Linked DNA regions of Arabidopsis thaliana. The main gene of each other region encodes a partner of the protein of the gene in region 2 in a complex. Each region holds a gene or a part of one and is shown on either strand. Other genes may lie near its edges.

What was found.
Region 1: EMB2753 (region 2) and AT5G13780 share a complex: the UniProt entries of both Arabidopsis thaliana proteins name them as parts of the natA complex.

Annotation. Positions count from the first base shown.
Region 1 is NC_003076.8:4,446,496-4,450,374, forward strand, and holds AT5G13780 (Acyl-CoA N-acyltransferases (NAT) superfamily protein), read right to left. Parts: upstream 2,181-3,879; 5' UTR 2,109-2,180; coding exon 1,809-2,108; intron 1,394-1,808; coding exon 1,115-1,393; 3' UTR 796-1,114; downstream 1-795. Other genes in the region: AT5G13770 (Pentatricopeptide repeat (PPR-like) superfamily protein), read left to right, coding at 1-795; AGL15 (AGAMOUS-like 15), read right to left, coding at 2,633-2,798, 2,957-3,108, 3,183-3,224, 3,437-3,478, 3,550-3,649, 3,754-3,824. UniProt on the Arabidopsis thaliana protein: Catalytic subunit of the NatA N-alpha-acetyltransferase complex. Required for male gametocyte development, embryogenesis, suspensor development and the formation of the quiescent center (QC) in the root meristem.
Region 2 is NC_003070.9:30,231,866-30,237,017, forward strand, and holds the start of EMB2753 (tetratricopeptide repeat (TPR)-containing protein), read right to left. Parts: upstream 3,121-5,152; 5' UTR 2,968-3,120; coding exon 2,917-2,967; intron 2,430-2,916; coding exon 2,351-2,429; intron 1,967-2,350; coding exon 1,884-1,966; intron 1,777-1,883; coding exon 1,627-1,776; intron 1,458-1,626; coding exon 1,342-1,457; intron 1,025-1,341; coding exon 919-1,024; intron 523-918; coding exon 451-522; intron 360-450; coding exon 244-359; intron 41-243; coding exon 1-40. Other genes in the region: ATXRCC1 (BRCT domain-containing DNA repair protein), read right to left, coding at 3,579-3,863, 3,991-4,077, 4,157-4,270, 4,363-4,448, 4,619-4,730, 4,821-5,009, 5,110-5,152. UniProt on the Arabidopsis thaliana protein: Auxiliary subunit of the NatA N-alpha-acetyltransferase complex. Required for male gametocyte development, embryogenesis, suspensor development and the formation of the quiescent center (QC) in the root meristem.

The DNA.
Region 1 (3,879 bases), on a different chromosome or scaffold from region 2:
AAGGCTGAGTTAAAGGTCACTGATTGCATACTCTGTGCGATTGTGAATGGATTCAGTAAGCAAAGAGGCTTTGCTGAAGCAGTTAAGGTTTATGAATGGGCTATGAAGGAAGAATGTGAGGCTGGGCAAGTGACTTATGCAATAGCCATCAATGCATACTGTCGGCTTGAGAAGTACAATAAGGCTGAGATGTTGTTTGATGAGATGGTGAAGAAGGGGTTTGATAAGTGTGTTGTTGCATACTCAAACATAATGGATATGTATGGGAAAACACGGAGACTAAGCGATGCAGTGAGACTCATGGCTAAGATGAAACAAAGAGGGTGTAAACCCAACATTTGGATTTACAATTCCTTGATTGATATGCATGGAAGGGCTATGGACTTAAGGAGGGCTGAAAAGATATGGAAAGAGATGAAGAGGGCGAAGGTGTTGCCGGACAAGGTGAGTTACACTAGTATGATCAGTGCATATAACAGATCAAAAGAGTTGGAGAGATGTGTGGAGCTTTACCAGGAGTTTAGGATGAACAGAGGAAAGATTGATAGGGCCATGGCAGGAATCATGGTCGGTGTATTCTCCAAAACCAGTAGGATTGATGAGCTAATGAGGCTGTTGCAGGACATGAAAGTTGAAGGAACCAGGCTTGATGCTAGGCTTTATTCCTCAGCTTTGAATGCTCTGCGTGATGCTGGTCTCAATTCCCAGATCAGATGGCTACAGGAAAGCTTTGACGCTGCACAAACTAGTACTTCAAAATATTCGAATACAAAGAACACAGGAACTTTAAGTTGAAAGGGAAAACTGTACAAGCCAAGATTATTTTTCTTGTAATTAAATGTACTATATTGCCAATAGAGATCTGCTATCTTGCAAATAGAAGATTTCCAGCTTAAGTTGTAAAGCCTTAATGAAAGCTTGGAATTTCCAAAATGATACATCAAAAAAAGGAACGGCTAAATTTTCAATACAACCAAAGAAAGACAAAGGAGTAACACAGAGTGGTCACCAAATGTATTTGTCACTCGGAATCATATGAATGGAAATAGTGAGAAGTACTAGAGCGAGCCAGTGAACCCACCTCAATATACTCATAATTATCTGCTTTCGAATCTCATTTGGAAACTGCTTTACCATCTACGGCTTGAGCTGTTTCTACAACTTTTGCATCACCAGAACAACATCCTCCTCCATGGTGATGATGATGACCGTGGGCGTGGTGATGGTTCTGCTTCCCCTTGAGATTCTTCCGCATGTCATAAGCATCCTCCCCATCGGCGTAGTACTTTGCTTCTACATCATTAATCTTGTAGCCTAATGTCTCAGTGTATAGATTGAATGCTGCTCGGTTACTTCTCCTCACATGCAACGAAACATACTCAGCCTCGTAAACCTGCCACAAAACCCCGACCGAGAATGAATTTAAAAAGTCCAAGTTCGAGAGTGAAAACAACTATCAACCTTTGAGGTCTGCTATTATTAGTTTCACAGGCAATCAGAAACTACTCGTCTCCGTCAGTCAAAAGCATAACACGACCGGAGACAAAACTTAATCTCTTTATACAATCTACAGAGCTTAAGTTACTTCAAATTCCAATGACAATTGCAACAATCACTTTGACACACAAAGTTTCTAACTTTCAATAAAATCCTTTAACTTACACCATTATATCAATCTTCAACATAAACTCAAACCACACAAATTCTTCTATATCATCCAATTATTCAACACGAAACTCTATATCAATTCAATGAATCTGCTTAATTGAATGCAAAGATATACGAAATTTGAAGATTAGAGGAGTAACCTGTTCCATGGCAGCTTGAGCGGCGGTCATGAGCTTAGTGGCGAGACCGAGCTTGCGATGGGTACGAAGAACGGCGAGAGAAGTGATGTGGCCGTGGCACTCGTTGCTCTCTTCCTCCATCTTAGCCAAGACATAGCCAACGATGCGACCATTGTAGTCCTCGGCGACGTAGAGAAGCTGAGGCCATGAGAGGATATGGTAGAGGTAGTACTTCATCTGGTAGTTCTCAGGAAGACACATGAGATTGCAGGCTTGCATCGCCAGCAGATCATCCACCGTCGCTCGCCTGATGCAAACCATGGCTGCTCAATTGCTCTCGCGCGGATAAAGAGGGGTTAGGGTTTTCGGTCTAATGCCTTTGGGCTTTATTAATCTGGGGACGAATTGTAATTATAGAGAAATATGAGGTCTTTATTGAAACTTTTGCTTATATTTTAGGGGCATTTAATGAAATTCATTATAAACTTTTTCAGTTTAGGATTTGAGGTCCAATTGGGCCTTGATTGTAATGGAGTAGGAAGATTCCGATAACCTTCACTTTCTATAAGCTTATTTCTCCGCAAATTTTCTTACTATACGAGATGTCAAATAACTCTGTGCCTTGTAAAGATTATGGATTTCAAACTCTCAGCTAGGCATATCTTTTTTATAGGAGAGACAGTCGAGAAATAATCAAAAGAAGAAGGACAAAGAGAGTTGGTGCAGAGATTAGATAACTGAATCTTCTCTTCTTTTTGCAAGTATCCCTCTAAAATTACTTTTAAAACAATCGGATACTTGCTAAAGAGGAAACATTAGTAGCCTTCTCCCATACTTTTCTAGGACTAAACAGAGAACCTTTGTCTTTTGGCTTCAGGTGGAGAATTTGCTAAACTAGACTGATCCCCTCTTTCTGCAGTTTCGCTGCTCGTGTTTGTTGTCACTGAATCGCTTGACGGGCTCTCTCTTTCTCCTTCATTCGTCCTTCTATCATGTGCCTCTCCCGGCAACCTTGGAGAAAACACAAGTAGTAAGAATTTTATAACTCCAGTTAGTGAGTGTTAAGGCATATGCATAACTAACAGAGGAGGAAAAAGACTTATATTTATCTTAAATCAGCTTTCCAATAATGCAACCAATGACAGCAAATAGACTTAAAAGAGCAATACCCTAATTGCAAAGTTGTGTCTGAATCGGTGTTCTGGAGGCTGCATTTACTGTCGTGGTTTATGAGAGCGTTCTTTGGATCTATAGCAAAGCATTTGATGTAGGATGGAACATAGTGGGTGAACGACGGGAGAAAGCTCCTCAGTTCTTGAACCTGTTTCAACAAGTAATTACAAGTCAGAGGAAGAAGCGTTCATTAGGAGATGATTCAACAAAAATAATAAGAACCTGTCTACGCAAGGTCTCGTTTTCCAACTCTGCTCGTTGTTCCTGCAAAGTATATATATGGCTAATCAAGAAACGAATTATACTTTTGCACTCTGTACCTAGTTATATAGGAGTCTTAAGACAAATAAACTGCACACTAGCTAGTTAGAGCATGAGCTTGTCAAAGGATAGCCACTGGTTTTAACAAGGTTCAGAATCATGTGATTACACATAAGCTTACATTTGGAAGCTAGAGAGGAAAAGCTAGTGTTTACCTTGAGGCGTGATTCTTCAAGTTGGTTAGTCAGCAATCGTTCCTGAAATCAGATAACCATAATCAGGACAATGCAAAGAGAAATGATGATGGAAGAGTGATATTACTAGTTACCTTTCGCTCTCTGACAGTAATCAATGCATGATATAGTTGCTGCTCAAGGCTTTGCAGCTCTTTAAAGGTCAGAGGATTCAAGCCCTTGCCCTGCAGTTGTCTACAACAGAACAGAACACACAAAGCCAAACACTAAAAACAAACACAAAGTAGAGAAGAATAAAGTAATGAACAAGCATAGTGAGATTTATTTAGTTTCCATACAAATGTTTCTCTTGAAGCTTTGAAAGTTGATCCTTTAAAATATCCACCTCTGCACAATCCTCCTGGAGGTTCTAAACAGCAATCAGATTTTCAAAAAAACAATTTCAAGATATATGAGACAAGAAT
Region 2 (5,152 bases):
TGAATACAATCCAAGGCATTTTTGGAGGCCCTCATGATATCTGAAAAAGCAAGGAATGCACTTTTTATTTGTTTACAAAAAATTGACAGTACCAAAAATATATAGAAGCCTTTGAGAGTAGCAAAGGTATAGACCGCCAATGCCAAAGATAATGAAGCAGGGCAAACAGATGTGACAATTGAGAAAAACGAAAAAATACACAGATAATTTCTTTAGAGCTACTTTGAAGTGCAAGGAAAAAACCTGTAATTGTCAGGGTTCATGGAAAGTAAAACCCTGTAGAGTTTATTGGCTTCTTCTAGACGACCAACCTTTGACAAGAGAGATACCTCTTGTTCTTTGTAAGACAACTTATCAACCTACAAACAAGCAAACGAGGAATGTTAAATCTACTATTATGTGTGCATCCTATTATCCAAATACATTCAACCATCAGTTTTGTGAACTTACTATTTTCGGCTCTTTTTTGTGCAACTCCTCAAGAGCTTTGTCAAAAGAACCACTCTCCTCAAGCAAGGAAACCTGAAACGAAAAAAAAATCCAGATGAGATTTCCTGCAGCTACAGCTATGAAAAATGTGCTAATGCCAACTGTAGGTTGCTCAAACAGGGAAGTTTCAGGGGGAAAGAGTGAACAGAACACCACCACTCCAGGTGGCTTGGAGAGACTTTCCAGGGTTCATATCCAATTATACTTGAGAGAGTTATGCTTTTGTCACAAAAGAATACAGGTGTGATTCACAAAATGTATGATACAAGCAGTAAGCCATATTTTGTATCAACCAACTTGTACTTTTGGTATTTTCGTCAATAGGAGAAAAATGTGTGAAACCCGTTTAGGCAAGCATGATTTTTCAGGGAAAAAAACTTAGAAAGACAACAGTCAATATATGATAGTTGTAAAGTTTCTGGTTGATACCTTGTATAGAATCATTTCTGTGTGTTCAATTAGCTCGTTCTCAGGAGGATAGTCATCCTCTAAGGTGCCTTCATACGCTTCCAAAATTTCAACAGCTTTAGAAGCACTGGTTTCAGGAGAAAATAGAACAAGTTAAGAGATCAAGGTTGATATACATGGCTAGCTTTTACTAGTAAAGAAAAGATGTTCACAGAAAATTCTACTGTATGTTCATTGGTATATTATTTCCTAAAAATCTGATGCAAGATTCGTACCAACATAGGCATCCACTATCTACTCCTTAAAGTGTTCAAGACTATAATTCCAAATCATATGCCATTAACCAGCTAGCCAATAGTCCAAAGAGGAAAAACTAGCATTCCATTCAAATGAGTAAAGTGGTTTAACATATTTAGATTTATGGGGTCAAGGACAATAACATACTTTGCGTTTAAATGCTGAGAGACTGCAAAGCCAATCCAGTTCATTCGGTGATTAGGCTTCAATGTCAAAAGCTGCTGCCTGGTCTCCACAAAACCGGATAAGTCCCGCATTTGTGCCTAGGAAAAAGAAAGTAACCAATATGATTAACTATTGAAAGCATCAAAAGAGATTAAAATTGGAACAAGCTTTACACAAAGTAAAGTGATAAAAAGTATGAAAAATCAGCTTTGAGAATAACTGGCACACCTAATAAATTCACCTCAATCTAGTTTTTCTCATAATTACCTGCAGAAGTGAGAGGTCTCTGAGTATTTCAAGGTTATCAGGATCTATTCTAAGAGCATTTCGGTAGCATTTGATTGCTTCTCTATACTCTCTGTCTGACCGGTACAAAAGACCAAGCACATGCCAGCAAACATGGCTTTTGATATCATTCTGCATGAAAAAATTTGAAGTATATAAATCCTATGTTACCCTGAAAACAAAATACCATTTTGGAAACTAAGGAATAAAGTTGTGATTATTGAAGAGCATATTCAAACCTTCACTCCAAGTCGAACAAGCTCATATGCTTCAGTTTTGCGGTCCATACAGTTTAGAGTCAGTCCTTTCATCGATAAAGTCTCTGAAAATCACAAACAATAAGAGCGACAAGTTTTAAAAGAAAGAAAAGAATAACGAAAAGGGTTGACAAATCAAAAAAAGCAAGAACTGCGTTTAACACGAAACAGAACTGGTCTCTACTAACAAAACTAAACAATACCAAGCATTACCCTTGTACTAAAAAGTTAATTTATTTGCTCTAATAGGAAGAAAGAAAATAAAAATTCTAACAGTGATTGATTCTTAAGACTATAGACAAGACAACGAAGCGCCTAGTAGACCTACAAGTCATGAGATCTCGGTTGATGTATGTAGTATAGAGTTGTAAGTATTTAGATAGCAGTAAAAAGATTAGCACTAAATCACAAAGGAATAGAAGGAGATATTAGATAAAAGACAAACTGACCTCCATGATCAGGAAACTTTTTTAATATGGCATCAGCTGCCTTGAGTCCCTTCTTGTACTGCTTAGTCTCATATGATTTCTGCATTATAAGATTACTCAGAATAACTATATATGATGTACTTACTTGCGAAAATTACATAAAGAAAAAGGTCAACTATTCAAAGCAGGTTGAACAATATAATGGTTAAACCCAAAATCTATGCTGAAACCATATATATATTGATAAAGCTTGGTTTTCAAGTTCTTCAAAGTAAACTACGAATCCCTGAGCGACTAAAAAAGCCCAGAAGCAATCGAGGTCTAATAATAGCCGATAGTCAAAAGTAACTGAAGCTAAGAACTTGGTACATCAAATTAACACATTAAGGAACCACAACTCCGCACAGTTTACTTCATATGTCAACGAATTTTTCTATTGACCCAACACATTGACGATTAACTTAATTTAGGGTTTAATAGAGCAGATAAAACTCATCGTATTCCAATTTCTGCTGACCAGGAACATCACATCGCATGTTTAAGACAAAGTAAAAACTGAGAAAGAAAGAGAGGGAATCGGAACATACGACGATGAGCTTGAAGAGGTTGGCCTCCTTAGGAGGAAGCGAAGCCCCCATTTTATTGCGCTACTGAGAGAGCTCGCGAAGACGAAGACGGAGAAGAAGAAGAAGAAGATGTTCTTCGCGAGTTCGATAGGGTGAGAGAGAGATAGAGGTGGCGTACTATCCGCTTCAACCCTACTGCGAAACAAAGAAAGGCACAACTCTCACAAGACAAAACCCAATAAGGGTATAAATAAATTAGGGTCTTGTCTTCAATCAATCTTCTTCGATCCTAACCATATCGGTACATGTTTCCGGTTTCAATTCGTTTGTCTGATATTACAAAACGGTTATTAAATTGGATAGAACCAAACCGGTTCAAAACTGGAGACATCTGAACCTAATTGACCAAATCAAATTTGTATTAACCGATCAAATTCATCGTCAATCGACACTAAAAAGTATCAAATCAAACCGACTTATTAATTGCAACCGATTACATCTCTCAATCGAATCCAAACCAGCATAAATAAATTCTAATTAGAAACATTCTTTCCGAACCAAGCAGACCGGATTATTTCAAATTTTTATCAGTAATAACATCCTACTCAAACCGAACAAACCGAGTATAACAAGAATTCTTGGAATTCCTTAAGAGATCATATGCAAAATGAAACAAGTTTGATCTAAAGACACTCTAAAGAAACGTTCCTATAAGCAAGTTCGATCTCTTCTTCAGTCATCTCAACGGTCATATCACTGTCATAGCCACAAGCAACCCGAGAGGTCGATTCATCTTCGCCCGGTTTTGCTAGCTCAGCTTCGTAGATCTTTTTCCACGACTTTGCTTGTTTGCAAACTTCTTCCTTTGATGCTGTTGAATTTTCCTTTTTAGAAGACGATTCCATCTTTCCAAGCTCCTTCACTACACGAGGGACAAAGCTCCATAGCTCTGTAACTGATCCAATGTCCTAAAATTAAGAACATTCGAGAATAAATTCAACCAATGATCTTCTCAAAGAAACTGATCAAAGTTTAACAAATCCAAAAATGTACACAGGCGGCAACTATTATTGTTCAGACTTCAGAGATATTAACCTGCTTCTGTTCAAGAGAATCTATGGCGTCTTGTAAGCAGGTTAAGACTCCTTCCGCAGCTATTCGCTTGATTTCGCCTGGTTCTGGCTGTTACAATGGCTTTAGAATAACGGAAACATACAATCAAGAAAACATGTCTTTTGAAAGAGCATATTAATTCCCTTACTTTTTCCTCCTGACTCTCAAGCCATGAGATGGTTTGACTTAGGTCATCCCTGGCCCATTTCTTCACCTCTGTAACAAAAAATGGCTCTTTCACAAGATTGCAAGCTGATCTATTCTGTGAACATATGGAAATAAACAGTCATAGACCATTGATTGGAGCAAAATACGGTTCGTTTTGGTTAACCAAATCATCAGATTTAAACATGCCTTGGATGAGGTAGATGGTGTTCCCCTTGTTTCTGTTTTTTTCTCTACTTGCTTCTCTGGTTTTTTAGACAGGTGTTCTCTCTTTTCTGAATACAATCAATTAAGGTTCACAGAGTCAACTAAACATCGGAGTGAAGCAGTGCAATAAGAAAAGCTTTTCTCTTGTCATAAACGTAAAAACAAGGTGATTTGATGAACCTCAGGATGGTTAAAACGGAGATTCTATCTAAAGCCTTTCCAATATAATTCTTTTTACCTCGATTAGCATCTTGGGGACTACTGCTTTTCCTCCATGGTTTTCCAGCATGCATAAGGTATTGCTCGATATCTACCAACTTCTTCTGCGCATAACACTCAGTTATCCACTCCTGGAGACAGTGAAATCATATAAAATATCAGCAAAAAGGAGAAATTCAAATCCGCACACAATCCCTTATAAGAAGAGTCAAAGAGGTAACCTTTGAGATAATTGTTCCACCATTTGTTTCAACTTGACGGAACTTTGGAGTGTTAGGAAAAGCACAAATCAACAAGGTAGAGCCAGCGTTCCAGTCAGGTTGATAGGTGGCTCCCATTGTCAAGGCTTGTGACCTCAGTGTACTCCTCTCAGGATTAACAAAGCCCGAAAGTACAAAAACAACGCCTTCCTGCATAGTTTAACCTTCAACTCAATCACAAAAGCATATAAACTAACATGACAGCTTAAGATAATTGAGTCTCAACAAGACCATGAAGACACACACAAACCATAAGTTTAGAGAATTCAGTGGTATTTGAACTTGGCTCGGCG